Mus musculus: one gene and its partners. The protein of the gene in region 6 interacts with the protein of the main gene of each other region in a biochemical or structural test. Links are inferred from orthologs where the notes say so. Each region holds a gene or a part of one and is shown on either strand. Other genes may lie near its edges.

What was found.
Region 1: of the proteins of Atf2 (region 6) and Mapk13, one has a biochemical effect on the other in vitro, tested with the Homo sapiens proteins (2 studies listed by BioGRID and IntAct). The link is inferred for Mus musculus from reciprocal best matches to the Homo sapiens genes ATF2 and MAPK13.
Region 2: of the proteins of Atf2 (region 6) and Mapk11, one has a biochemical effect on the other in vitro, tested with the Homo sapiens proteins (4 studies listed by BioGRID and IntAct). The link is inferred for Mus musculus from reciprocal best matches to the Homo sapiens genes ATF2 and MAPK11.
Region 3: the proteins of Atf2 (region 6) and Fos form a complex in vitro, tested with the Homo sapiens proteins (3 studies listed by BioGRID and IntAct, with this or other methods). The link is inferred for Mus musculus from reciprocal best matches to the Homo sapiens genes ATF2 and FOS.
Region 4: of the proteins of Atf2 (region 6) and Mapk1, one has a biochemical effect on the other in vitro, tested with the Homo sapiens proteins (3 studies listed by BioGRID). The link is inferred for Mus musculus from reciprocal best matches to the Homo sapiens genes ATF2 and MAPK1.
Region 5: the proteins of Atf2 (region 6) and Crebbp form a complex in vitro, tested with the Homo sapiens proteins (2 studies listed by BioGRID). The link is inferred for Mus musculus from reciprocal best matches to the Homo sapiens genes ATF2 and CREBBP.
Region 7: of the proteins of Atf2 (region 6) and Mapk9, one has a biochemical effect on the other in vitro, tested with the Homo sapiens proteins (4 studies listed by BioGRID and IntAct, with this or other methods). The link is inferred for Mus musculus from reciprocal best matches to the Homo sapiens genes ATF2 and MAPK9.

The regions. Positions count from the first base shown.
Region 1 is NC_000083.6:28,767,857-28,772,116, reverse strand, and holds the start of Mapk13 (mitogen-activated protein kinase 13), read right to left. Parts: upstream 2,801-4,260; 5' UTR 2,708-2,800; coding exon 2,589-2,707; exon of another isoform or gene 2,527-2,588; intron 2,107-2,526; coding exon 1,977-2,106; intron 960-1,976; coding exon 901-959; intron 1-900. UniProt on the Homo sapiens protein: Serine/threonine kinase which acts as an essential component of the MAP kinase signal transduction pathway.
Region 2 is NC_000081.6:89,146,807-89,150,964, reverse strand, and holds the start of Mapk11 (mitogen-activated protein kinase 11), read left to right. Parts: upstream 1-1,358; 5' UTR 1,359-1,451; coding exon 1,452-1,567; intron 1,568-4,126; coding exon 4,127-4,158. UniProt on the Homo sapiens protein: Serine/threonine kinase which acts as an essential component of the MAP kinase signal transduction pathway.
Region 3 is NC_000078.6:85,472,463-85,476,689, forward strand, and holds the start of Fos (proto-oncogene c-Fos), read left to right. Parts: upstream 1-1,427; 5' UTR 1,428-1,577; coding exon 1,578-1,718; intron 1,719-2,472; coding exon 2,473-2,724; intron 2,725-3,129; coding exon 3,130-3,237; intron 3,238-3,354; coding exon 3,355-3,996; 3' UTR 3,997-4,227. UniProt on the Homo sapiens protein: Nuclear phosphoprotein which forms a tight but non-covalently linked complex with the JUN/AP-1 transcription factor. In the heterodimer, FOS and JUN/AP-1 basic regions each seems to interact with symmetrical DNA half sites.
Region 4 is NC_000082.6:16,982,008-16,986,181, forward strand, and holds the start of Mapk1 (mitogen-activated protein kinase 1), read left to right. Parts: upstream 1-1,374; 5' UTR 1,375-1,619; coding exon 1,620-1,732; intron 1,733-4,174. UniProt on the Homo sapiens protein: Serine/threonine kinase which acts as an essential component of the MAP kinase signal transduction pathway. MAPK1/ERK2 and MAPK3/ERK1 are the 2 MAPKs which play an important role in the MAPK/ERK cascade.
Region 5 is NC_000082.6:4,115,905-4,119,404, reverse strand, and holds part of Crebbp (histone lysine acetyltransferase CREBBP), read left to right. Parts: intron 1-183; coding exon 184-372; intron 373-1,736; coding exon 1,737-2,150; intron 2,151-3,447; coding exon 3,448-3,500. UniProt on the Homo sapiens protein: Acetylates histones, giving a specific tag for transcriptional activation. Mediates acetylation of histone H3 at 'Lys-18' and 'Lys-27' (H3K18ac and H3K27ac, respectively).
Region 6 is NC_000068.7:73,844,140-73,847,639, reverse strand, and holds part of Atf2 (cyclic AMP-dependent transcription factor ATF-2), read left to right. Parts: intron 1-1,264; coding exon 1,265-1,443; intron 1,444-2,086; coding exon 2,087-2,201; intron 2,202-3,063; coding exon of another isoform or gene 3,064-3,071; intron 3,072-3,500. UniProt on the Homo sapiens protein: Transcriptional activator which regulates the transcription of various genes, including those involved in anti-apoptosis, cell growth, and DNA damage response.
Region 7 is NC_000077.6:49,870,751-49,874,250, reverse strand, and holds part of Mapk9 (mitogen-activated protein kinase 9), read right to left. Parts: intron 1,518-3,500; coding exon 1,352-1,517; intron 416-1,351; coding exon of another isoform or gene 344-415; intron 1-343. UniProt on the Homo sapiens protein: Serine/threonine-protein kinase involved in various processes such as cell proliferation, differentiation, migration, transformation and programmed cell death.

The DNA of each region.
Region 1 (4,260 bases), on a different chromosome or scaffold from region 6:
GAGGCAGAGGCAGTCGGATTTCTGAGTTTGAGGCCAGCCTGGTCTACAGAGTGAGTTCCAGGACAGCCAGGGCTACAAAGAGAAACCCTGTCTGGAAAAAAACAAAACAAAACACCTTCCACTCTTAGTGGGCTGGGGACATAGCTAGGCTGGTAGAGCTCTTGCCAAGCACGCACAAAACCCCGAGATTGATTCTCAGCACCAGTGCCTGGAATCCGAGCTCTTGAGAATCAGAGGCAGGAGGATCAGAAGTTCAAGGGCAATCCTTGTCTACATAGGTAGTTGGGGGCCAGACTGGGCTACAGGAGAGGTCCAATTTAAACACATAAACACACAAGGTACCAAAACACTCCCGCAGCCTCTGTAGCATTGACTAGGATGTGAAGCCTGGCAGAAGCTGCCACTAACACCTGGAATTCTCAGGAACATCCAAACACCCATCCTTGCCCAGGCACCTGCCAGCAAAACCGGACACTTTGACACTTTGTAACAGCCAAACCCCATCAGCCAGATTGTCCGGGCTATCTGATCCTCACTTCCTTCTAGGGGAAAAAAAAACCCTCTAGGTATCATGAAGTCCAAAGTCACACCTGGCCACCAGGAATGGGTGAGGAGAGTCAGTACACACCCTGTGAGGGCCAGCAGCTCTTCTTGGTGCCAGGGTCTGATAACAAGGGTAGGAGCTGTGTAGACAGCTCTGGGGGGGGGGGGCAGGTACCCTACAGCCCTTCCACCCACAGCCAAGGGACCTCTCCAGGGAAGATCTCAATGTAAAAGCAGAGGCACAAGAACTGCTAGGTGGGGGGGGACGGACCCCTTTCTGCGCGGAAGCTACCCTGCCCCAAAGTATTCCCGAGCCAGCCTTAAGATCTGCCAACACCCCAATCCAGCCCGACTCACAAATCATGGAAGCTCCGAAGGGAAGACGCAGGGGTGAAGACATCCAGAAGCCCAATGACCTGGAGAGAGGCCACCAGTGAGGGTGCGCTGCCAACGCCATTCTTCCCTGTCCTGAGGGTCTCAGCCACCCAGGGCCACCATCCAGGTCACCCTCTGCTACGGAAGGTGGCCCCAGCTGGCATGGGAACAGTTTGGGGGCCCAGGCAGAAGAGGACATTTGCCTGGGCTGGAGAGATGGCTGAGAACAAGGTAAGTTTGATCCCAAATTTGGGGTTTGGGGTGAACAGTCCCACTTGTAACTAACAAATCTTGAGGGTCAAGGGGGGAAGAGGAGAGAAGGATGAGAACTCCAGGTCCTTGGGACTCTGGACCTCAGCTCTAGCCTTGGACCCCGGGTCTCTAGCCACATCTGTCAGTCTGTCCAGAGCTAGAGGCAAGTCCCCTCCACCTCGAAGCTGGAGGCCACTGAGGAAAGGTTATCTGAAAGGATTAGGGTTCACGATGTACAAGGCTCTATTTGAAATGGACCCTAGCCCTTCTGCCTGGCCCAGAGCTGGGTCACGGGGTCTGTTTCCATCAGACAGGATGGTCAAATGGTCAGGCACCAGGCTCTGCCTCCCGCCCCTTCCAACCTCAGCTCTGCCGCTGCAGAACCGGGGAAACCTTTCTGTGCCTTGGCATGTGTTACGGAGAGGATTATAAAAGTTAGCCAGCCCCCACCCCCGCATGCATTAAATACTCAGTATTTATTGTTAGACTTAGAGTGGCCAGAATGGAGGCAGCTTTAGCTCAAGTGCCCAGGCTCATCGGACTGGAGTCCTCACAGAACCAATCGCGAAGCTCCCCTGTGCCTACTTCCTCCTCACAATCAAGAAAAGGTTGTGTGTTTTCTGGGAAGCGAGCTGGGCAGGCCCTGGCATCTTCTCATTGGGCTCTCCTTAGAGAGCTGAGAAACCAGGGTGGAGCAGAGGAAGTTCTTTCTCCTGGCCCTGCGCGCACGACCCTGGGCAGGCCCCTCCTGGGCCCCTCTCCCTGCCCTCCGATCCCCGGCACATCCACACCCCGAGGCAGCCTACGTTCTCATGGTGCATGTGCTTCAAGAGCAGAAGCTCGCGGTAAGCGCGCTTGGCAAAGATCTCCGACTGGAAGGGCCGGCTCAGCTTCTTGATGGCCACCTTCTCCCCTGTCCGCTTGTCGATGGCCGAGCTGCGGGGTCACAGGCAGGTGAGGGGGAGGGGCGGCGCAAAGGGCCTAAACTGGAGATCCCTCCAGCCCTGTCCTAGGCCACCCCCATTCTGTGCTCCCCAGGCTGGCCGGAGACCAGCAGAAAGAGAGAGAGAGAGAGAGAGAGAGAGAGAGAGAGAGAGAGAGAGAGTGTGTGTGAGTAGGGGGCGACGCCAAGGAAGGGGCGGCAGAGCAAGGAGAGAAGCAGTTCTTGCTGACAGGATGCAGAGCAGGCCAGGAGTCCCTGCTCTGCGATTTGGCAAGTTCCCCTCTTGGGGCCTCATCTGCAACCGCAGGGATCTGTCCCACGAACTCCGAGATCCCTTTTAAAAAGTTACAGCCTTGGAGAACCAGATTCGCCAGCGACTCAACCCACAGGGGCCCCACTGCCACCGGGCTCACTCGGGGAGGCTGCCGAGGGGTGGCCCGTGGCTCCTCTGATTCCTGGGGTCCCCGGGTCTCACCACACCGCTCCATAGGCCCCGCTGCCGACGTGCGCGGGCGCCAGGTAGGTCTTGGGTAGCTCCCAGGCAGTCTTGTTGATGTCCTGCTTGTAGAAGCCCCTTTTCCGAGTGAGGCTCATCCCGGACCCCGTGGTGGCGGTCCTGCGAGGAGGTTGCGGTGGCTGCCCGCGGGCTCCCGGCCCGGGTGTCCCGCCGCGGTCCCCTCCCGCCCCGCGCCCGCTCCTCCCCCGTGGGGCGGCGCACCTGCCGCCTCGCCCAGGTACGTTCCCGCCCCGGCCCGCCCACCGCTCGCCCGCGCTCCGGACTCCGCCCATCACCGGCGAACGCCCCAGGCCCCACCAGCCACCTGCTGCAGGTGCTGAGGGAGGAGGGGGGTGCCCTGCGGGAAAGGGGTGCCTGCGAGGCTGCCTAGAGACTGTAGGAAGAGTTGGGAATGGGGTTAGGGCGCGGGGGGGGGGGCGCTCAACTTGTTGCTAGTTGGGCTAGTTTAAGAAATATACCCTTCACATGTAAGGCGTGGTGGCTCAGGTCTGTACTCAACACAGGAGATAGAGGCAGAGACAGGAGAATTGCTACGATTTTGAGTCCAGTTCAGTACATAGTTCAATGCCAGACTAGGTGAGACCCTGAGGAAGAAGGGAGAGGAGAGACTAGAGAGGAGAGATACAGAGAATGAACAGAGAAGGAAGAGAGGGATAGAAGAAAGGAGGGAGAGATAGAGAGGGTGGGAAGAGAGGGAAGGGGAGAAGAAGGGAGGAAGGGAGGGAGGAAGGAAGGATAGAGAAATAACGTCATTCTTGACTACGCAGTAAACTGGAGACCAGCATAGGTTACATAGTGAGACCCCACAGAAAGATGGAGAGGTTGTTCAGCAGGTTAGAGACTGCACCGCTCTTGAGGATGACCTGAGTTTGGCTTCCAGCACCCAGGTCATCATGCACATAGTTAAACAAAACAAATAAGCAAATAAATAAACAAAAATAGGCATCGTGGTGCACACGCCTTTAATCCCAGCACTTGGAAGGCAGAGGCAGGTGGATTTCTGAGTTTGAGGCCAGCCTGGTCTACAGAGTTCCAGGACAGCCAAGGCTACACAGAGAAACTCTGTCTCAACACCCCTCCTCCCAGAAAACCCTCCGGAGATCCCCAAACAACAACAACAACACAAGAACCCTACAATTCATGGGGTTCTACATGAGCTCCTGTGACCCCAGGACTCTTGTCTTTTCAGTAAGCAGGACTCTCAGATCCTAAGGCTCAGCGACTGACCAGGGCTCAGACTCTATTCCTCTTCCCCATTTTTCTGAAACAAACTCCAGGCATCCAATCCTTCTTCTCATGAGAGATTTGCTGTCTTACACCCAGAGTCGACGGCTGCTAATTCTACAGTCCCCAGAGTTCACAAAGATTTAAACATCCACCGGAGTTTGTTTGATACTGGTGGTGATGGTTTTGTTTTGTTTTTAGCTTTTTAAGATTAATTTATTTTATGTATATGAGTACACTGTAGCTGTCTTCAGACACACCAGAAGAGGGCATTGGATCCCATTACAGTGGTTGCTGGGAATTGAACTCAGGGCTTCTGGAAGAGCAGATAGTTCTCTTAACCGCTGAGCCATCTCTCCAGCCCGGTGGTGATGTTTTTATTGTTGTTGTTGTTGTTTTCTCGAGC
Region 2 (4,158 bases), on a different chromosome or scaffold from region 6:
CACGACACTCAACCCATAATCAATTTATTGGGAGGAGGAATGGGGGAAAGGAATCAGCTTAGAGACAGAATCTCGATTTAGCTCAGGCTGCCCTGGAACTCAGGATGTAGATCAGGCTGGCCAGGTACTCCAGCATCTCTCTCCTGGTGCTGGGATTAAAGACGTGCACCACCACACTCTGCTCCATGTTTACTTTCAAGTGTGAATAAAAGTAGGGCCTAGGGCAGTGGTTCTCAACTCTCCAATGCTGCAACCCTTTAATACAGTTCCTTATGTTGTGGTGACCTCCAGCCATAAAATTATTTTGTTGTTACTTTGTAACTAATGTTGTTACTGTTATGAATTGTAAATATCTGTGTTTTCTGATGGTCTTAGGTGACACCTGTTAAAAAAAAGAGGTCGTGACCCACAGGTTGAGAACCACTGGCCTAAAGTGGCATGGGTGAGGCCTTACTGGACATGAAAGCATCCACCCTGGACACCAGGAAAAGGGAGATTTCTAGGCTTGGTGACAAACTGAACTATGCCTGCCAGGGTTGGTAGACCTCCTGGGTCGCCTTGTGCTAGTGGCTGGAGAAAGTCAAGGCTGGGGGCGTTTCCCGAGTGTCAGTGAAGAGAGGGCTTCATAAGGAGGAAAAATACCCAGTACTAAAAAGAGGCCCATGTGGGGACCATACTTGTGGCCCCAATCATGGTGCTGCGCTGTCCCTGGTCCTGACTGCCCGCCGGGAGCTTACCTCTTCCAGGAGCTTCTGGGTCGAGGTTAGGGCAACATGGGGAGTAGATGTCGTCTTGTCTCCTGAAGGCTCCGTCACTTACTAAGACCTAGTAAGTCTACTAGGAGGTGAACCATTAACGCCAAACGGGGGCGTCCTCCTCACCCTGGCCACAAGGCGCCTTCCTCAGTGGTGCCCTGAGTTGGCGCCGTGGCGCTGGTTTTTTAACCTAGAGCCTTTACTTCCCCCTCCCCCCACCACTAATGTTTTTTGTTGTTGTTCTGAAAGTATTATCACCACGTGCTCAAGCTCACTTTTGACAATTTCCCTTCATTTCTGAGGAAGGGGACTGGCCTGGGACCCGGGGAAGGGCAGAGGGGGTAGGTAATATGCAGAAGATGAAGGTGGAGGAGTACAAGCAAGAAGTTTCATCGTCACCCCCATGGGAGGGAAGCAGGCTTTTTCCTTTGTCACGGTCTCCGAGGGGCAGGAAGCTGTGCGTCTGTCTCCGGGAACCCTCAACCTCCACCCACCCCACCCCACCCCCGTTTCCCCGCCCTCCGGTCTCCAGGCTGGGGAAATCCGCCGGGCCTCGGCCCCGCCCCGCCGTCCCGCCCTGCTGCGCCGCCGCCCCCCAGCCCCCACCCCGCTTTGCTCAGCGGTGCTGGGCGTGGGGCGCGGGCCGGGTGCTGCGCGCGGGGATCCGGGGCGCTCGCTCCAGCTGCTTCTGTGGATATGTCGGGTCCGCGCGCGGGATTCTACCGGCAAGAGCTGAACAAAACAGTATGGGAGGTGCCGCAGCGGCTGCAGGGCCTACGCCCGGTGGGCTCCGGCGCCTACGGCTCAGTCTGGTAGGGGCCGGCAAGGACCTGGTGGGAGCTGGGCGGGAAAGCGTGTGCGACCCTCCAGCGCGACGTGGGGTTCCCGGCGTGGGGAGGGGCCTCGCCCTGCCTCCGCCCCCGGTCTGCACGCTTCCGATGAATGAATGGGGGGGAGGGGACACGGAGGAAACTTTCCTACTAGATTCCACTCGCTGGCAGGTAGGGGGGGTCTTCTAATGCCCTCTCCCCCCCCCCCATCTCCGATCCCTTTCCTAGTTTTTCCCCAAAAGACTGAATATTGCGGCGTCACAGCTGGCGGGAGAGCAAGTCTCTGGGGCCGCTAAATGGAACAGTCAGCCATCCGGGTTATTTCGGGCAAGGTCTAAGTAGCTGCAGGGTCTAACGTTCCCCTCAGACTAAGTATTTGAAAAGGGGACCCCCAGCGGGGTGAGGAGACCTTTCTAATTTGGAAGACACCAAAATTTTCCTGTGGATCATACCCGCGCCTCCAGATTCCTAGAAGCTCAGCGGCTTGAGCCTAAGCGGACACCTACTCTCTTGTCTACACCCTACCCCAGTTTACCCAACAAAGGATCTCAGAATATAGGTAGGGCTTGGAGACCAGAGATTGCAGTCTCGATCGTGGGCAGCATCCAGGCACCTGGGATTGGAGAACGGCTGTAGATAGCCCTTGTTGACGGGCTGATCAAGGGTGTGGACACTGGTATGTGCCCCACACCGGGAATGGGGGCTGAGTCTCACATCTTGGATCCGGTGCTGTCATCCGAAGCCTCGGTACTGCTACTGCAACCCTATAGAGGCAAACAGTCCTGCTTTACAGGGCCCAGAGTGAGTTGGTCATGGGATCTCGCCCCATGTCTGCAGCCTGTAAACCCACCACTGAGATGGGTAGGCTTGTTCTGCCGACACTCGCTCCTTATTCTTGCTTCTCAGGCTGTACCCCAGCCCTCCACAGTGAGTAGAGACAGGATACACCCACTCCATCACCCATACATACCCAAGGAGTCGGACAGAGGAAGAGATGATGGGACATGTTGTGTCTGGGATGTTCAGGGACTCAGCAAGTGGAGGAGGATAAGGTTACACGAAAATACATTTTAAAAAAATAATACAATAAATTAGAGGGAAGGAGAGCCAGGGAGGACTTGGAGGGGGCAGGGAGGAAGGTGAAGCAGATACTTTGCAGGGGACTTGGACATTGACTCAGATGGAGTTGTCTCGGGGCTGGACCATCTAGGAGTTACCAGGGAAAAGCCAGATTTCCCAAGGGAGACCTAGGTCTGTCTCCGCTGATCCGTGACCCTGGGTTTGTTCAGTCACCCTGCTGAGGCAGGCCATGGGATGCCAACTTCTTGTAACTTGATTGTACAGAGGCAGTCAAGTAAGAGGATCCTGCTGTTCTAGTGGCCACTCCCCACCCACCTCCACCCCAGAAGTTACTTAGACATTCTGCTTATCATAGGAAAGCCACCTTTCTTCTACAACTCTCTAGTTCCGTGAGCATCCCAAACCACCATGCCCCTTCCCCATCTTCCCTCACCTGGTGGGAATGGGTGGTACCCTGTCTCCATTCACCACTGCAAGGGAAGGGTGCATCCTGAGACGAAGAGAATCGAGGGAGAGAAGGAACAGGAATCACCAGGGGAGCAGGCTGTGTAAAGGTACTGTAGCCAGGGCTCCTTCAGTGGCTTCGCAGCTGCTCCGGGTCTTGAGGCAGAGGGATCAGAACCTGGTGAAAAGCCTTAGGACCACCGCTCAGTCCACGTGGCCTAGGCCCCGCCCACAAAGAAAGCGTGCTCTCATTTGCTCTTTCGAGGCTCTCCAGGTGAAGGATAGAAGGGTAAAGAGGTGCAGAGGTGGCGGGTCCAGTTTCTGGGGGAGTGGAAGTGTGTCAGAGACATCTTCACACTGGGGTTAAACATTTCCTACTATCCATTTGCTGAGTTATAAATTGTGTGTGTGTGTGTGTGTGTGTGTATTTTTTTGTTTGTTTTGGTTTGGTTTCTTGTGAGACAATGTCTCACTAGGTTTTCCGGCTGGTTTTGAACTCAATCTCGATTCTCTCGCCTCTCCCTCTCTCCAAGAGCTGGGATTACAGGCATGAACACCACACTCGGCTTCAATTACAAATCAGGAAGCAATAAACACCTCCGGATAATCTTGCTTCCGCAATCTGATGTGCGGAGGCGTGGGGGTGGGGCGTCCAGGGCTTTGTAGGTAAGCCTCCCACGGCATCCGTGAGGAAGGAGGAGGGCTGCTTGCTGTGGGAGCGCCTGTGGGTACAGTCGTGGTATTTTCCATGCCGTGGCCTTGTTGTGTGTGTGTGTGGGGGGGGGGGGGGCGCTCAGGTTTGGGCTAGAATCACCGGTTCTCTGCCAGAGAACGCTTTGTCCACTCAAAGGGGTCTCCTAAGGGAGGATCAGGAGGGTCGGCGTGGAGGCAGCGCGGGGCGAGCAGGCGGGGACAGGCTTCCTAGGTTTTAGAGCTAGCAACAGAGGCTCACTCCCGCACCCAGCGTCGGGTGGATTCAGGCCAGGCGCTTGCTCTCCTCATTCGCCCACCTTGCAGCTCGGCCTACGACGCGCGGCTGCGCCAGAAGG
Region 3 (4,227 bases), on a different chromosome or scaffold from region 6:
TTTGGCTTGACCCTTGGGACCCTCAGAATGGAGACGAGGGGGACACATGAGTTCTGCGAGGATCTGCGGTTTCCTATCCCAGAGGTGACCGGCCCAGTCAGTCTAACCCGGCTTGTCCTCTGCGGAAGGACAGGAGGCCGAGGGCAAGTAGGGGTGTGTTTGTTCTACACTGAAGCACCTGACCTCTTCAAAGTTCCATCTTCCAAGACTCAAAGCTGTTCTCAGGTCCCAGACGCCAAAATCTCGGCACAGCTGGGAACCTTTCTTCCCGTCCCCTCTGCGCCCCCACCCCCCTTCCCAAGTCCGATCTGGAAAATCACCCGCTGCAGGCGGGTTCCTTGTAAGCGCAGTTTCCAGGCTGCACGTATTCAGACCCCCATCTCCCCAGCACCGACTTGCTTTCTCCTCCCCCCCCCCCCCCGAGCTCACCTCACTTTGTAATTCTGAGCTCCCCCCCTGCCCCGACTCGCCCTCTGGTCTCAGCTCAAAACTAAACATACGACCCCTTCAGGCATACTTGTAGGGTGGTTTTGCACAATGTTTATCCGTCAGTGTCAACGGGGACTGTCGCCTTGATAGCTCTAAGTGGCTAAGGGTCGGGGAGTAGGTGCTGCCGTCCTTTAAAACACGAATTTATGAATGAACCCAGTACTGTAGTTAAATCAGGTTATTGTACACTTATTTACAATCCTTCACTTGCTGCTTCCAACCTCAGTCCTAAAGTTTCTCCAGGCAAGGAGCTGGAGAGAGGGGCTGAGAAGCTGACCCCCCCTTTTTCTTCTCTGCACTGATTTGGGATGGGGGGCTGATGTGGGCAAGCTTTCCTTTAGGAACAGAGGCTTCGAGCCTTTAAGGCTGCGTACTTGCTTCTCCTAATACCAGAGACTCAAAAAAAAAAAAAAAGTTCCAGATTGCTGGACAATGACCCGGGTCTCATCCCTTGACCCTGGGAACCGGGTCCACATTGAATCAGGTGCGAATGTTCGCTCGCCTTCTCTGCCTTTCCCGCCTCCCCTCCCCCGGCCGCGGCCCCGGTTCCCCCCCTGCGCTGCACCCTCAGAGTTGGCTGCAGCCGGCGAGCTGTTCCCGTCAATCCCTCCCTCCTTTACACAGGATGTCCATATTAGGACATCTGCGTCAGCAGGTTTCCACGGCCGGTCCCTGTTGTTCTGGGGGGGGGACCATCTCCGAAATCCTACACGCGGAAGGTCTAGGAGACCCCCTAAGATCCCAAATGTGAACACTCATAGGTGAAAGATGTATGCCAAGACGGGGGTTGAAAGCCTGGGGCGTAGAGTTGACGACAGAGCGCCCGCAGAGGGCCTTGGGGCGCGCTTCCCCCCCCTTCCAGTTCCGCCCAGTGACGTAGGAAGTCCATCCATTCACAGCGCTTCTATAAAGGCGCCAGCTGAGGCGCCTACTACTCCAACCGCGACTGCAGCGAGCAACTGAGAAGACTGGATAGAGCCGGCGGTTCCGCGAACGAGCAGTGACCGCGCTCCCACCCAGCTCTGCTCTGCAGCTCCCACCAGTGTCTACCCCTGGACCCCTTGCCGGGCTTTCCCCAAACTTCGACCATGATGTTCTCGGGTTTCAACGCCGACTACGAGGCGTCATCCTCCCGCTGCAGTAGCGCCTCCCCGGCCGGGGACAGCCTTTCCTACTACCATTCCCCAGCCGACTCCTTCTCCAGCATGGGCTCTCCTGTCAACACACAGGTGAGTTTGGCTTTGTGTAGCCGCCAGGTCCGCGCTGAGGGTCGCCGTGGAGGAGACACTGGGGTGTGACTCGCAGGGGCGGGGGGGTCTTCCTTTTTCGCTCTGGAGGGAGACTGGCGCGGTCAGAGCAGCCTTAGCCTGGGAACCCAGGACTTGTCTGAGCGCGTGCACACTTGTCATAGTAAGACTTAGTGACCCCTTCCCGCGCGGCAGGTTTATTCTGAGTGGCCTGCCTGCATTCTTCTCTCGGCCGACTTGTTTCTGAGATCAGCCGGGGCCAACAAGTCTCGAGCAAAGAGTCGCTAACTAGAGTTTGGGAGGCGGCAAACCGCGGCAATCCCCCCTCCCGGGGCAGCCTGGAGCAGGGAGGAGGGAGGAGGGAGGAGGGTGCTGCGGGCGGGTGTGTAAGGCAGTTTCATTGATAAAAAGCGAGTTCATTCTGGAGACTCCGGAGCAGCGCCTGCGTCAGCGCAGACGTCAGGGATATTTATAACAAACCCCCTTTCGAGCGAGTGATGCCGAAGGGATAACGGGAACGCAGCAGTAGGATGGAGGAGAAAGGCTGCGCTGCGGAATTCAAGGGAGGATATTGGGAGAGCTTTTATCTCCGATGAGGTGCATACAGGAAGACATAAGCAGTCTCTGACCGGAATGCTTCTCTCTCCCTGCTTCATGCGACACTAGGGCCACTTGCTCCACCTGTGTCTGGAACCTCCTCGCTCACCTCCGCTTTCCTCTTTTTGTTTTGTTTCAGGACTTTTGCGCAGATCTGTCCGTCTCTAGTGCCAACTTTATCCCCACGGTGACAGCCATCTCCACCAGCCCAGACCTGCAGTGGCTGGTGCAGCCCACTCTGGTCTCCTCCGTGGCCCCATCGCAGACCAGAGCGCCCCATCCTTACGGACTCCCCACCCAGTCTGCTGGGGCTTACGCCAGAGCGGGAATGGTGAAGACCGTGTCAGGAGGCAGAGCGCAGAGCATCGGCAGAAGGGGCAAAGTAGAGCAGGTGAGCAGCGATTCTGGACCTTTGTGGGCTGGGGGGGGGGGGGGGGGCGGAGACTGACGCACAGACCACACAACAGAGAAGGGACGCTACTGACTGCACTTCCTGACCAGGAGCTGTGGCTGCTAGCCCTTTCCCTCCCTTGTCAGATTTTGACAGTTGGACCCAAGACAAACTCTAGACAGTTTCCCTGACAGCTTCCTACTTCATTCTCTAGCCGGGGAGCTTCTTTGTTCCCCTGCTAAAGATCTCACTTTAAATGCAAATCACACTCTGCCTGCCAACTGCAGGTTAGAAAAACTGCTTCACCGAGAGGTGCGGGTGCTGTAGGAGCCAGTTTCACTGGGGTGACTGAATGGAGGTGACACTAGACAACCTTAACTGAATGTTGGTCCTTTTCTTCTATAGCTATCTCCTGAAGAGGAAGAGAAACGGAGAATCCGAAGGGAACGGAATAAGATGGCTGCAGCCAAGTGCCGGAATCGGAGGAGGGAGCTGACAGATACACTCCAAGCGGTAGGTTGAACCAGCTGCTGCTCCTGAAACTTTATTAAAGTTGGAGCTTGGGACTATGGGCGCAGGGTCCTTGAGCATGCCCGTGTCTTATGCTTTCTTATATCTCTCCCTATGCAGGAGACAGATCAACTTGAAGATGAGAAGTCTGCGTTGCAGACTGAGATTGCCAATCTGCTGAAAGAGAAGGAAAAACTGGAGTTTATTTTGGCAGCCCACCGACCTGCCTGCAAGATCCCCGATGACCTTGGCTTCCCAGAGGAGATGTCTGTGGCCTCCCTGGATTTGACTGGAGGTCTGCCTGAGGCTTCCACCCCAGAGTCTGAGGAGGCCTTCACCCTGCCCCTTCTCAACGACCCTGAGCCCAAGCCATCCTTGGAGCCAGTCAAGAGCATCAGCAACGTGGAGCTGAAGGCAGAACCCTTTGATGACTTCTTGTTTCCGGCATCATCTAGGCCCAGTGGCTCAGAGACCTCCCGCTCTGTGCCAGATGTGGACCTGTCCGGTTCCTTCTATGCAGCAGACTGGGAGCCTCTGCACAGCAATTCCTTGGGGATGGGGCCCATGGTCACAGAGCTGGAGCCCCTGTGTACTCCCGTGGTCACCTGTACTCCGGGCTGCACTACTTACACGTCTTCCTTTGTCTTCACCTACCCTGAAGCTGACTCCTTCCCAAGCTGTGCCGCTGCCCACCGAAAGGGCAGCAGCAGCAACGAGCCCTCCTCCGACTCCCTGAGCTCACCCACGCTGCTGGCCCTGTGAGCAGTCAGAGAAGGCAAGGCAGCCGGCATCCAGACGTGCCACTGCCCGAGCTGGTGCATTACAGAGAGGAGAAACACGTCTTCCCTCGAAGGTTCCCGTCGACCTAGGGAGGACCTTACCTGTTCGTGAAACACACCAGGCTGTGGGCCTCAAGGACTTGCAAGCATCCACATCTGGCCTCCAGTCCTCACCTCTTCCAGAGATGTAGCAAAAACAAAACAAAACAAAACA
Region 4 (4,174 bases), on a different chromosome or scaffold from region 6:
TTTCTCTGCATATTCTTGGCTATCCTGGAACTCACTCTGTAGACCAGGCTGGCTTCCAATTCATAAGCGATCTGCCTGCCACTGCCTCACAAGTGGTGGGAATCAAGGTGTGAGGCACCATGCCGCCTTGCTGCTTTTAGTTTTTAGTTTACTATTTCAGAAGCTTCCCCTCAAGTTAGAATGTTTCAAGTTCATAGAATGTTTCAGTCCTTCAGGAAACTGTTGCACAACACCTGGACCCGAGTCCCCAAATTTCTATGTCTTTTTCCAGTGTCCCTACCCACAGCTCTCTATACTTTCCCTTGGCTTTTTATTTCTTCACAACACTTAAGTGCAAATATTGTATTTTGTCTGTCTTTTCACTCTGGAAGCATGGCTGGCTCCAGTGCCGTAGATATTCAGCAAATCTTCTTGAACAAACCTCTAATTAGGGGATTCAATGTCTTGTGTTTTGGTTTCTGCTTACTTATGTCTCACACTGTTAGGTGTGTGTCACGGGCAAGAAGGTAGATATATGTAGTTAGTATAACAAAAGTTATATTTTATTATGCTGAAGGTCATCATGCAAGGTTTACAGTCTAAATTTCTTACAGTCCTAAGCCTGTCTCCCCAAGGTCACCTGTGTCACCTATCTTAGCTTCAGATCAGGTTTCTGATTTGAGGATCAGGACCCTGGCGGGGGGGGGGGGGGGGGGGGGGGAGTGGATTCTCTAGCCACAGAGCAGATCAAGGTGTATCTCTCCAGATGTGTAGAGCAAATCACTGCTTTTGGTCTCTGCTTATATTCTGTCCAGTGGGCATCATGGGGTTCTAGGACTGTATCTGGTTATCTTGCGTGAGTGATGTCACTGAGCTCTGGATCAGGAGCAGCCTTGGATGCTGTGGGATTCCTGCTTAATCTAGTTTTATATGTCTAAAAGGCATTTTTTAAAATTATGCTCATTACAGGGTGAAAGTTTTTTTCTGGGTCTGGGTTATGCTTTTTGGTTTCTGTCCCACTCTGATGGTCTAAGTTCATCAGAGTGCACAATGTGGGCCACGTATTCTTAGAGGTCTGTCTCAGGGGTCCCGTGGTTGGTGTGCAGTGAGTCCTCTGGTCTCAAGCCAAGTCCCTGGTCCCGTGTGAGTTCGTTCTGGACCAGGCACAGCACCAGGACAGTGGGTGGGACTCTGTGGGGTCCTTATGCCTAAATTCCAACCTAGCTCTCTAGAGCTACCCAGCGCTTGGGTCTCCGAGCGCACATGACGTCCCTCCCCCGCAGCCGCAGTGCTCCTGCCTCACCTCGCTGCTTCCGCCGACCCGCGAGACTCCGCCCTCTCTACCAAGAGAAGCCAATCAACACGCACGCCCTTGACTCCGCCCTAGCGCCCTTCGACGCGAACCCTTCCCTCCTCCCACTCGTAGCCCGCCCGTCAGGCAGGAAGGCTGGCAGTGGTTCTACCGGCGGTTAATTCTCTCCTCTGTGTTGTCCTCCTTCCTCGTTCCCGATCGCCGGCGGGGGCGGCTACACGGGCGGCAGCGCGGTTCCTGCGGGAAGCGCAGCATAAGTCGAGCGGCAGCCGCGAAGCGTCGAACCGAACGCGGCGGCGGCGGCGGCGGCGGCGGCTGTGCAGCCAACATGGCGGCGGCGGCGGCGGCGGGCCCGGAGATGGTCCGCGGGCAGGTGTTCGACGTAGGGCCGCGCTACACCAACCTCTCGTACATCGGAGAAGGCGCCTACGGCATGGTTTGGTGAGTATCCGCGCTGGATTTCAGGCCCGGCCTCACGCGGTCACCCTGTGCCCCCTGCCTGTGGCTGATCTGGACGCACCCACGGCCCTTCCCGCGCCTTGGCCTCGCGTTCTGCGGCGCCCCGGACCCCTGGCTTCTTGGCCTTCACTCCTGGAGCCCTGGGGCGGGGTCCTGGAGCCGGTCGAGGCTTAGGTGTTGCTCCTCGTCTTCCTCTGCTGCTTCTCGTTTGCGGTTGGAGGGGCAACCCCGATTGAGGCCAGGACTCGAAGACTCCGGGGCTTGGTCTTAAAGCGCGTACTTTCGAGGCTTCTCCCTCGGGACGGGAACGGAAGTACACTGTGTCTCCTAATTTATAGCATTATAGCCACCGCCTCTTGACATTAGATTAAAGCCAGGAATTGTATTAGATGCTTGTCCGTGGTGGCGGCGGCCATGGTTTTGCAAGACGGAATAATAGGCTTGTGTGCTGAGCACCAAAATATTTTTCTTCTCTTCTGTGTACGTGAACAGCATTCACAAAATATCTTAAGTAGCGCTAATGATGCTTTCTGCCTCGGGCTTAACCGTTAATGACACAGCGTTGGTTGTGGACATATTGAAATCTTGAAGTTTCAAAATGGATTTAAATATACCGATTGTGTTTCAGAAAGGATAAGCCAGCATCACTCTAGAATTATTAAGAAGTATTTGGAGTTAGTCCTAATTTGACTTTAAATTATCCCGTCGTTACCCTCAAGAGTACTCTCTTAACAGTGTGAATGTATCCATATGTTTTAGCCCGATTACTGTGATCGTTTCCCCATAACGTTTCAGTGTTCAAGAATAGTTTTTGCACGATCACTTGCAGGATTTCCTGCATGTGGAATGTTGAAGTGTATTGTTTTAACTAAAACAAGTTCATTTATCGAAGGTCTCTGAGATAGTTTAATTTAACTTAGCTATCTTGAGGAAAGAGAAGACAGCCTTTTTCAGATAAGGTATTGAAAGGAAGTCCTTTTACAGGGCGAAGAACTAGAATCAAGCTTTGCTGTAGAAAGATCCTGTTTTAAATGCTTCAGCTCTTGAGCTATTGCACAGGCCTCTCCTTGATTTAATAATCTCAGGACTTCGGCATATTTTCCTGATGAACAAGTCTATTCAGAAATGCATTAAAATTTGAATAGTCATAATTTTAGAAATGCCAGAAAAGGTGTGTTTTCACCAAGTGTGCTAACAAGATAGAATAATTAACGTTCTTTTTTTTTTTTTTTAAAGAAAAGACTCATGAATAGTTATATTTTTATGAGCAAAATGTCTCATAGTATACAATTACGAAGATAAAAGTGAACTGGACCTGCAAGTCAAAAGAGGAATGGAGAAAAAGTACTTTCCATATCACATTTGTCTTGCATGTATTACTACCCTGTACCTGCTGGTAAATATGCCAGTAACACTTATTATTGACACTCATGATTACCCACTATAGGCTCATTTATTTAAGGGGGGATTATTTTAAGTAGGGACAAAAAAAAATTAGGATCTGTCAGTTGAACTCACACATTCCCCACCACCCTGAGAAGATGGATTATTTAGATCCTGTTGCTATTCACCTTTGAAGTTTCCACTTGCTGTGCAGAATTCTTTTTAAAATTCAAATTTTAGGGGCTGGAGAGATGAGTCGGCATTTAAGAGCACTGGCTGATCTGGGTTCAATTCCCATGGCAGTTCACAACTGTCTGTAATTACAGTTCCAGAAGATGAGATGTTCTCATAGAGATGCATTCAAGCGAAACATTCATATGCATAAAATAAAGTTAATTCATTTTTTTAAGACAGGGTTTCTCTGTGTTGTTGCCCTGGCTGTCCTGGAACTCAGTTTTTAGACTAGGCTGGCACCTGCCTCTGCCTTCCACCTGGCACCTACAAATTTTAATTTTAAGAAAAATGCAGATGTAATTGGAATTTAAATCCTAACATCAGCCTTTTATCTCCAGATTGATAACATATCTTAGGTATCTTAGTATTTATTTAATAGTCTTAATTGTATGTCATTAGCATCTCATCAATGTTGAGTTTATGGCAGCTTCTTAAGTATCTACTTGAATAGTTGTGATCTTTAAAAAGTTGGAGAGATGGCATAGTGGTTGAATATCATCTGCTGCTTTTGCAGGACCTAAGCTCAGATTCCTGCATCTACATTAGATGACACTCCTACCCAACCCCTGGCTTCCAAGGGCATCTACACTCACGTGGTGCATAGAAAACTCACTAGGGGACACACACTAAAAACTGAATTTAAGAATAACTCTTTTAAAAAGATTATTTAAGGGATTTTAAGCTGTTCTTTAGCAAGATTTCCCTAAAACAGTTCTCCGGGAATAGTGCCTATCTGTTCAAGTTCCCTTCCTAGTCATTATGTAGAAGACAAAAAGATAAAATGTGGGGGTGGGGTGCAGGATAGAT
Region 5 (3,500 bases), on a different chromosome or scaffold from region 6:
GCCATTCTGAAGACAGTTCAGCATTGACTTGAGAAATTGTAGAAAGTGCCTAGGAACTGGGGAGTCCCTGGGAAGTAGTGGTCTTTAAAACCAAAGTGTACTAGATTTGTAAGGCTTTGGATCTCCACTGTACTGTGATCTCTTGAAGACTCTGACCTAACACTTCTGATTCTTGTCTTATAGATGGCCATTTCTCCTTCACGGATGCCTCAGCCTCCAAATATGATGGGCACTCATGCCAACAACATTATGGCCCAGGCACCTACTCAGAACCAGTTTCTGCCACAGAACCAGTTTCCATCATCCAGTGGGGCAATGAGTGTGAACAGTGTGGGCATGGGGCAACCAGCAGCCCAGGCAGGTGTTTCACAGGTACATTCACTGAGGGAGCCTGGTCAACCAGTATTTATATAGCCCCAGCCTTTGTGACATGATCCTGTCTTAGTTGATGGAAACTAGAATTCTAGAATATACATCTTTCCATTTCCCGTTTGCCCTATAATTTTTAATTTGTGTTTAATTTTTCTTGTTCCCTCTAGGTAAACTTCACACATAAAGTAAAATGGATTGTGGTTGTGGGGGTTTTGTTTGTTTGGTTTTGGTTTTTGTTAGTTTGTTTTGTTACTCTTATATTTTTACCTTTGGATTTTGGTTGCTGTTTGTGTGCTTTAGAAATCTAAGATTAACGTCATTCTGAGAAATACTGGAATTTTAAGAAGGGGTGAATTTTCTTTTAGTGACTTGGTTAGTTTTTTGTATCTTAACTATGTGTTGGGGTGACAGAGCTGTCAGAATCATGGGAATAGCACTCTTCTCATGAGCATGTTCCAGTTACTTAGTCATAGCTGAGTTCCCATCCAGTTTACTGCTTTCCCTCACTTTGGTAGTGCATCAAGTGTCAGCTGCATACAAAGTATTTCAAATAGGCTAAATCTTTCTCAAAATATAAAAGTCCTGTCCTTTTAAACACTCAGCTGATGCTGAATGCGTTGTTGAATATATTAGGTTTACTCGGGGATGATTAATTTTCCCTATCATTTCATTTCTTTAGAACAGAGATAAGGAAACCAACTCTATTCCCTTTCCAGAGTCTCTCCATGTAGCCCAGGCTACACTCTTTATATCTCAGTCATTTGCCACAGTGACCAGTAGTTTCAACAGCCAGATAGTAAATATGTTCTCTTTCCAGAGTCATACTCCTAGTCGTTCGTAACTGTTTAGCTCTGCTCTTAACCGTGTACAAGTAGTTACAGACAATGTGTAATCTCCTTGTGGTTGTCATCCTATAAAACTGTTGGTGGTACCTAGGTCAAATTTCTCTCTGGAACAGCCATTGTGATTCTTTTTTTAAAGTTAGGGGTCTCCCCAGTGCTCTATGTTCTACTGTCTCAACTTATTTAAAAAACAAAACAAAACTCCTTTTTCTGTGGTCTAAGTTAAAAGTAGATGTGGCAAAACATGAAGTTAGTAAACTAAGTAAATATGTGCCTAAGCCATGACTATTGTAACCTGATATTGAAGTTCTATAAGTCAAAGTATGAGAAGGATTTTAGTGCTAATTTTATTACATGGTGTGGTGCATGCTATAAATGGTTAGTCTGAAGTTTTACAAATGCAATATCCTCCTGAAACTAGCAGAACTAGTTAAGAAACTAGTATAATTTTTTTTTTCTACAAGTCCCTCATGGTTTCAATTGGGTAAAATAGTTTTTATATATTCTTACTATCTCTTTTAGGGTCAGGTACCTGGAGCTGCTCTCCCTAACCCTCTGAACATGCTGGCACCCCAGGCCAGCCAGCTGCCTTGCCCACCAGTGACACAGTCACCATTGCACCCGACTCCACCTCCTGCTTCCACAGCTGCTGGCATGCCCTCTCTCCAACATCCAACGGCACCAGGAATGACCCCTCCTCAGCCAGCAGCTCCCACTCAGCCATCTACTCCTGTGTCATCTGGGCAGACTCCTACCCCAACTCCTGGCTCAGTGCCCAGCGCTGCCCAAACACAGAGTACCCCTACAGTCCAGGCAGCAGCACAGGCTCAGGTGACTCCACAGCCTCAGACCCCAGTGCAGCCACCATCTGTGGCTACTCCTCAGTCATCACAGCAGCAACCAACGCCTGTGCATACTCAGCCTCCTGGCACACCGGTGAGCCTCTTTGTCCTTATCAAGTCACACTTGTACAGAGTCCCTTAAGAATGGTCTGTCGGGCACTCAAAGCACTGGCAGGCTTATCTTGTGAGCTTGAAGCCAGCCAGAGCTAGGAAGTAAGACTCTTATCTATAAATATAAAATAAAAGACTATTCTGTCTGTCAGGATGCTATAGCAAATTGCTCTGGTGCGAAAAACTCGTGTGTGTGTGTGTGTGTGTGTGTGTGTGTGTGTGTGTGTGTGTGTGTGTGTGTGAAATTGTAGTAAACTGATTTGTTCCCACTATTATTGGCCCTAAAGGTATGGCTTACAGTTTCCCTTGGTCAGAGTGGTTTATAGAAGTCAGTAATCATCAGTATGTCACAGCATGGACAGAACTATTGAACTGTGTGTGCTGCCATTCTTTTACCTGGTTTTTGTTCTAGAGTAATACTGTCGAGGTTTGACTGCTTTTGTGCTTAGTTCTGTGGGTTTAGTTATCATGCTTCGCTCCAGACTATAAAGGTCCAGGCTAATCAGCCTTCTTTCAGAATACATGACTTTTTTTTTTTATTTATAATGAAACAACAGATCCCCTCCTCTCAGGTTTGCATTAATTCTGTTCTTAGATACTTAGGATATTTGTAGAATAACAAAATCATTCAACAGTTGCAAAGATGACATTACTAATTTGCTTTCTCTATAAGGGCATATACTTACTCTCTTTGTTTTTGTCTCCAATTATTTATGTTTCCTGACTTCAAACCAGGCCTTTGTAAACACTAGGCAAGCACTTTGCCACTGGCTGCATCCTATGCCCTCTAAGATACTTGTATTTAATTTTTCAATCTTCCTTTATTAATTTATGTACTGCTTAGAGCCTGTTACATGGTAGTGGAGTGTTTGCTTACTACACCACCATCACTACCCTGTGATAGATGCTTCATATGGGCCATTATTTCATGACCTCTCTGTAAATACTTTTTTTAATAGTTTATAATTTGCCTTTCTCCATAAATAGGAATGTTAGTGAAGAAAAATAATGGTAAAATAATCCAGTCTGAAAGCAGAGAGAAAATAATTTTATGTCAGAATTTAGAAAACTCTGTTTGTCCAGCTCTTCATTTTTGGTAAGAAGTCAGTCATTGTGTTTCTGACACTCAGTGACTGACTGTTAAGCTTCCTCAGGGAGCCTCTGCCCTTCAGTGTTCACACTAAGTACTTAGGCTGTAAAGAAGAATAATGAGCAGACTGCGGTGGGAGGACATGTATGGCTCTCCTTTACAGAGGTGAATGACTGTGATTTCTTTGCAGCTTTCTCAGGCAGCAGCCAGCATTGATAATAGAGTCCCTACTCCCTCCTCTGT
Region 6 (3,500 bases):
AAGCCTCATTGATTTGACTGTCTACTCATCCATCCTCGTTTCCTGCTCTCTCTATCCATCAAATATTGTAAGGTTTTCCTGCCTAGCATTCCCCCTTCTCTATAGCCTGCCTCTTCTTGATTCTTTCAATATCAGATCAGATTTCTTTTTGCAAGGTTTTCTTCCTCACTATTACAGTGCCCAGCTCTACCTTACCCTCTGCTAAATCATTATTTATTGTAGAATGTTTAATGTCCTTTCTGGTAGGAAGTTTCTGTGATGGTTTTACTCATTGTCATTCTGCTCACTAGTTCTTGAGTTGGAAGTTTTTAGATGTGCTGAAAACTGTAGTTACAATGCTACTAATTTCTCCTTCCTAGTATCTTACTAAGACTCCAACTGAAAGTAGCTATATAAAGGCCAGTTCAAAAGGATACAATAGTTAGGGAGTTCTGGGTAAGGCCCTCATCTCTTTTGTAATCTGAAAAAATAGGAAATATTTTAACAATCATCCTGGCTGATTCATAAATTCTATTTCTCTTTAGTTTGGAAAGCTCTCAGCTCTACCTGCTAATTTTGTATGACTCACTTGGTCTTTTGATACTAGAAAATTAATGTTACCAAATGAAAAACTACCTGAGATTAGCAGACTTTTTTTTTTCTTAATTTAAAATGTCTTAAAACATTTCTGTTTGTTTGTTTGTTTTGTTTTGTTTTTTTGAGACAGAACTTCTCTGTGTAGCTTTGGCTGTCCTGGAACTTGCTCTATAGTCCAGGCTGGCCTCAAACTCAGAGATCCACCTGCCTCTGTCTCCTTGGGATCAAAGACGTGCATCACCACCACATCTGAACACCAAATTGTTTAAGTCATAGCACTATCTTGCTGGATCAGTTTCTTGATTTTGTAATACAATAAGCAAATAGGATAGGACAATCCCTTGCAGGTTTTGATTTTTGATTACTGACAGTAAATTGTATTTGTATTTCTTACTGAAATTCTCACAGAAACATTGCCAAGTAGCCCAGCCTAATTTATTTTAGAGTAATAAACACATTGAACCAAAAACACAGATTTGGGGTTTTTTTTTTTAAATTTTAAGAATTACATTTGAACTTTACAACTGCTTAGATATTTTCAATTAACTTTAGATATTAATTTACTTGTAGAGGCATTAAGTATTATCTAGTGGTTGCTTTCATAAATGTGTTACATTCTGTTCACTGGGATACATGAATTAACTTGCGTTTTTAAATACTACCCTTTATTTATCTTAAAATTAAATAGGAAGTACCATTGGCACAAACTGCACAGCCCACATCAGCTATCGTTCGTCCAGCATCATTACAGGTTCCCAATGTGCTGCTCACAAGTTCTGACTCAAGTGTAATTATTCAACAAGCAGTACCTTCACCAACCTCAAGTACTGTAATCACCCAGGCACCATCCTCTAACAGGCCAATTGTGTAAGTGATTCCAGTCACTCACTGACTGTACATGAGTTGTTAGGGTTTTTTGTTTTGTTTTGTTTTTTTATGGTTTTCCCTAGGATATTTAATTACTTGAATTAAAACGTGTGTGTGTGTGTGTGTGTGTGTGTGTGTGTGTGTGTGTGTGTGCGCGCGCGCGCTACACGAGAGAAAAAAGGAGAAAGAGATCTGTCTGTCTTGGGTTTTGGAAACTTTTAATATTTTAAAAATAATATTATCTAACACATTGGACAATAAATATCTAAATCTTAGCTAAAATAATGAAAATAGACTATAAGTTTAAGATGGTCTTACTTTTATGGTTTTTGACACAAAACAAAGCTATTCCATTTCAAGATGACATTTGTCTCAGTTCTTAAAAGTAACTCCCAAGACCTTTCTGATGAGAAATTTTCTCATTTCACAAATTGGAAATCCATGATTTTTCCCCAGGCTTTTTAAAAAAAACACTCTTACATAGATTATGCATTTAAGATGCAATTAAAAATATCTAAGTTTTGTAATTTGCCCTTTTAAGGTTAGAAAACTTATTTTTAAGCAATAGGAGGGAAAAGACTGTTACTTTGCAGAGGTGGTTGGTATGGATCTTTACATTTTTCCCTTGTTTTGTTTTTCTTAGTCCTGTACCAGGCCCATTTCCTCTTCTCTTACATCTTCCTAATGGACAAACCATGCCCGTTGCTATTCCTGCATCAATTACAAGTTCTAATGTGCATGTTCCAGCTGCAGTCCCAGTAAGTTGGAAAGTTAGACCATTTAAATTTAAGTCTTTGTATCTAAACTGGTCTGGGTAAAATAACCAGAAAATATATTTGAACTGCTTGATTGGCTTACAAAATGGAATTTATCAAGTGTTTATTAATTGGGAGTAGTATTTATTCATCATTACCTGTAATCGACTATAATATTCTAGGCAAACATAATTGGATTGAAACCTTTCTTTACCCCCAGCCCACTCTTGTTTTCTGTATTCTTATTGCATTATTTCTTGATTCACCTCACTCCAGTTTGACTAGGTTTATGAAATTCAAATATTTCTTAAGATACTTGTTTTGGAATGCTGGCAAATAGCTATGGTGTTTATAGTTATAAAAATTCTTCAAAAAACACACTTGTCCTTTATGGTTACATGAAGTTTAGTGGCCCAGGCATGTTAAAGTCCAAACATTCATATCTTGGCCTGATGACACATGCCAGGAATCCCAATAGTCAACAGATAAAGATAGGGTCAGAAGAAGGTCATAGCTAGCCTCAGCTAAATAATACATTTTAGGCCAGCCTGGGTTACTGTTGTGAGAAAATCCAAAAAAAAAAGTTTTATGAGAAACACACTAAATACTCAAATTTTGGGAAATAAAGAAAAAGTAATTAACTATATTGAGTTGTCTAGTGAACATTTAAAAACATAATGTTGGGCCAGGCGGTGGTGGCGCACGCCTTTAATCCCAGTGCTTGGGAGGCAGAGGCAGGTGGACTTCTGAGTTCAAGGCCAGCCTGGTCTACAGAGTGAGTTCCAGGATAGCCAGGGCTATACAGAGAAACCCTGTCTTGAAAAAACCAAAAAAAAAAAAAATGCTGGAGCTGTGTGGTTAAGAGCTTGCACTGTTGTTGCAGAGGACATGAGTTCAGTTCCCAGCACCCATTGCAGATGGCTCACAACTGACTATTGCTCCTGCCATAGAAGATGTGAGAACTTGGCACACATGCCCACCCATAGATAAATACATGTACACACAATTGGAAAGATTAAATTGTTATGTAAAAGCACTGTATTTGAAATGATGAAAATTTTCTTTTTCATATCATATTTCACAAAAATAGTTTTATTCATACTTTCAAATTAGTCTTCCAACATTTTACATTTTCATCCTGAAAAGAACTTTTAGATATCTAGCAAAGTTGTCTAAAACATACTATTTTCATTTTCCCTAAATTATTTATGATACATATATAATTTGAAACTTTCTTAAAGAATACTTTAAGCCTTAGTCATTCATGTAATGAATATAGTTGGAGGGTTTTGTTGTTGTTTT
Region 7 (3,500 bases), on a different chromosome or scaffold from region 6:
GAAATGATAAAATTATGAAGTGTCATGAACAAAACAAAAGTGAAGAGAAAGGGATTCTAACAGTGTACTGGACACACAGACATGGAAATATCAGTGCCTAGCTAAGGGTGCGCTTTTCACACAATATGAATGGTTGCTGACCTCTCCTTCAGCCTCCAGTTTGCAGCAATCTGTAGTTTTAGTGCCAAAGAATCCAATACTTTACAGCTTAAAAAAAAAAAAAAGCAACAAACAAAAAACCAGACACAGAAAGTTCTAATAAACACAAAATTCTCAGGGTCACATCCCCAGCCCCACCCCAGCCTCCAGGGCCAAGTACTGGGTCTCTCCCTGTGAAGGATACAGTCTCTTCCTGGGAACAGGACTTTATGGAGGACCATTTCTGCCATGATGCACCCGACAGACCAGATGTCCACTACCAAATATCAGGTGATTAAAAAACAGCCAGAGCCTCGCATCTCGTTTCTAAACCACCTCCCAGACATGGGCAGCCCCAGCAAATATTCATTGGGTAGAACTTCTGTCAACTCCTGACACCACATCTGAATGAGCATTTTTTAAATGGCCATATCAGAAAGGTGGCAGCCTGTTAGTAAGGGCTGGACTCTGGGTAAGGCCCTGCTTGAGCATGGCTCTGTAGTAACTGCCCTCTAGTGTGGAGTTGAGCATGGGGCCTGACTGAGTCCTGTGTTTCAGACAGGGAAGGGAGAGCTAAGCACAGACAGCTACTGAGGGGCACTGTGCCTCTCAGAGCAGGTGACAAAATATGTACAAAAATTCACACTCAGACTCATCTCAGAAGACTTCAGCAAAGCTCCCTTGTTGTCCCTTCATAAATAATCACATGAATTTATTAATAGCTAATGTTTAGCATTTATTTAGTTGACACAGCTAGAACAGGTGAAGTTTTGATCTAAGAAAATACCAGCTTTACATGAAAGAAAACACGGTACATTATTCCACTCATATTATTACAAAAACGAGTGAAGCCATTCAGTGTTGGCAACCAGGGTAATGAGAGCACAGAGGTCTCAGTGCTGTGGGTGACATGGGCCTGCTCACGGAGAGAGAGAGGCACAGGGGCTCCAGTGCACAATACTCTGTGATCAAACATTGAGGTTCAGCATGGTGACACATGCCTTCAATTCCAGCATTTGGGAGGCAGAGGCTGGCAGAGTTCTATGGCAGTTTCAGGCCAGCCAGAGTTGGGGAAGACAAAAGAAACTGTTCTTATCTGTGGCCTGCAGGCACAGTGCTCAAACTGTCTCCAATGGTCCTTGTGGAAGGGCGTGCCAGTGACGGTGGGAATGCTACCTCACTGCTTACAGTCTGGAGTCCTAACTGTACTTACCATTCTCTTTGTAGCCCATGCCCAGGATGACTTCTGGAGCCCGATAGTATCGAGTTACCACATAGGGAGTCATCATAAAGTTGGTACAGGCTGTTCGCGCCAGGCCAAAGTCAAGGATCTTGAGGGTACAGTCTGATTTTACTACAATGTTGCTAGGCTTCAAATCCTAGAAAAGAAATTGTTCACGTATTTAAATGAATCACAGCATGTTAACTACACAGTATCACACCAACAAGGGCTTGTGAGATGAGCGGCTACTGAAGTGTGTAAGAACGGGAAAGAGGGTAGGTAGGCACATGGCTTCTGAGACCCTGCCTCTAGACATGTCAGGTGGCCATGTTTTTCTTTGCTCAAAACCTGAAAGCCTCTAAGTCTCTCACATAACATGAAATGGCATTTGCATATAACCTACACACAACCTCTGGGATTGTCTAACTCATATCTAGATGATTATAATAACTAAAGCAATGCTATTATATAGGGAGTAATTACACACACACAAAAATTTGTCTGTTTTTAGTACAGATGAAATGTTTGTTTTCCAAATACTCCTGATCTGCAGCCAGTTGAATGCATGGATGAAGACCCCAAGAGTATGGAGGCACCTTACTACTAGCAGGCCTGAGCATGCAGACAAGCAGCACAGCCGCGTGGGCAGTCACAGCAGCACCGCTTCCAAAGAAGACAAACGCAGTACACACGCAGCACTGGAAACCACTCAGCAGTGAAAGCCTTCATCTGTCAATGAGCCCTAGAGAAGGGGAAACAGCCCCTGGTCCAGACCATACCCGCCTAAAAAGTGTGGTGACAGGAACAGCTGTCTACTTTACTGCCATCTGCTGGCCAGCTAGGCTAATAGAAATAAAGCTCTGGGTGTCTGTGCAAGGGGCATCCCAGCTGATGCCTGCCAAATGAGAAACTTTCATGTTTATGAGGATGTAAATCACAACCCTGACCAAACAGAGCCATATTGTAACTAAAGTGGGAAGGTAGGGGAAGAGGGTCACAGGGATGACGGCTGGGTTTGTGGACGAGGAATATATCAGTATCTTATGTCACAAACTGAAAAAGGTCAAAGAGCTCTAAACACACTGCCCTGAGACACAGAAACGAGCACTAGAGTAATTCATTAAGAGAACGGAAAGTCAGGCTGGTGACACAGCCCAGTGATGGAGTGCTGGCCTAGGATGCACAAGGCTCTGCCTTCATCCCTGTCGCCACATAAAAAAGGCAAAAACCAAAACCAAAACAAACAACAATAACAAATTCTAAATAACAAAAACTAAATTCAAAGTTTGCTTCAAAAGGAGACAGAAATAGGAGAAAGAAGAGGGAATGCAGGCTTCATAACTATTTATGCAACCATGTGATCCTTGATGAATACAAATGCAAATCAACCCATTTGCTGATTTGGTTCTGTTGAGAGGAGTCCGACTTTGAAACTGTGAAGGACAGACACTGGGCAGGCGGGCTGGCTGGCACTGGCGCAGGTGAGCACTGAAGCACCTGTGCAAAGCTGGAAGGAGCTCGGCAGCCTGCTACTGTGGGCGTCTCCAAGTGGCTGCAGGGCTGAGAGAGGTTTTCATTTTCCCCAATTTTGTGAATTTATATAAAGTAAAAGTGGTAAGGGCGAGGGACAAAACTTTACCTTTTGTCCTGTTTCACTCTAAAACTTTCAAATAATTAAAAGTTTTATTTATTGTGAAGCCATTTTGTTTCTTGGAGACAAGAGTCTTGCTATATGGCGCAAGCTGACCTTGAACTGATGACCCTTCTCATCCTGAGTTCTCCATGACAGGCGTGACAAATTGCATTAACAGCAAAAGTGAAGGTATGTTTCTCTATGTGAGGCCCTATTTAAAGGGGACCATACACTGCCATGCGGAGGCTCACTTGGGTTCCTCACTCACAGAGGCCTGTCATCCAGTTTGATGTACCTGAGGGTTGTTTGGAACATCTCAATGACAACGTTCATACCTTTCCCAAGCAGTCGCAGATGTGAGTGTGTGAGGTAAGAGTGTACAAGGGATCCAGAAGGAACCGGTAAGACAGGGAGCTAGGCAGGGAGCAAGGTGGACACACAACATTGTCTCAGATCATCATGGATTCTAAACACTGTGCTAAGCAAAACATACACTACTTTGGGCTC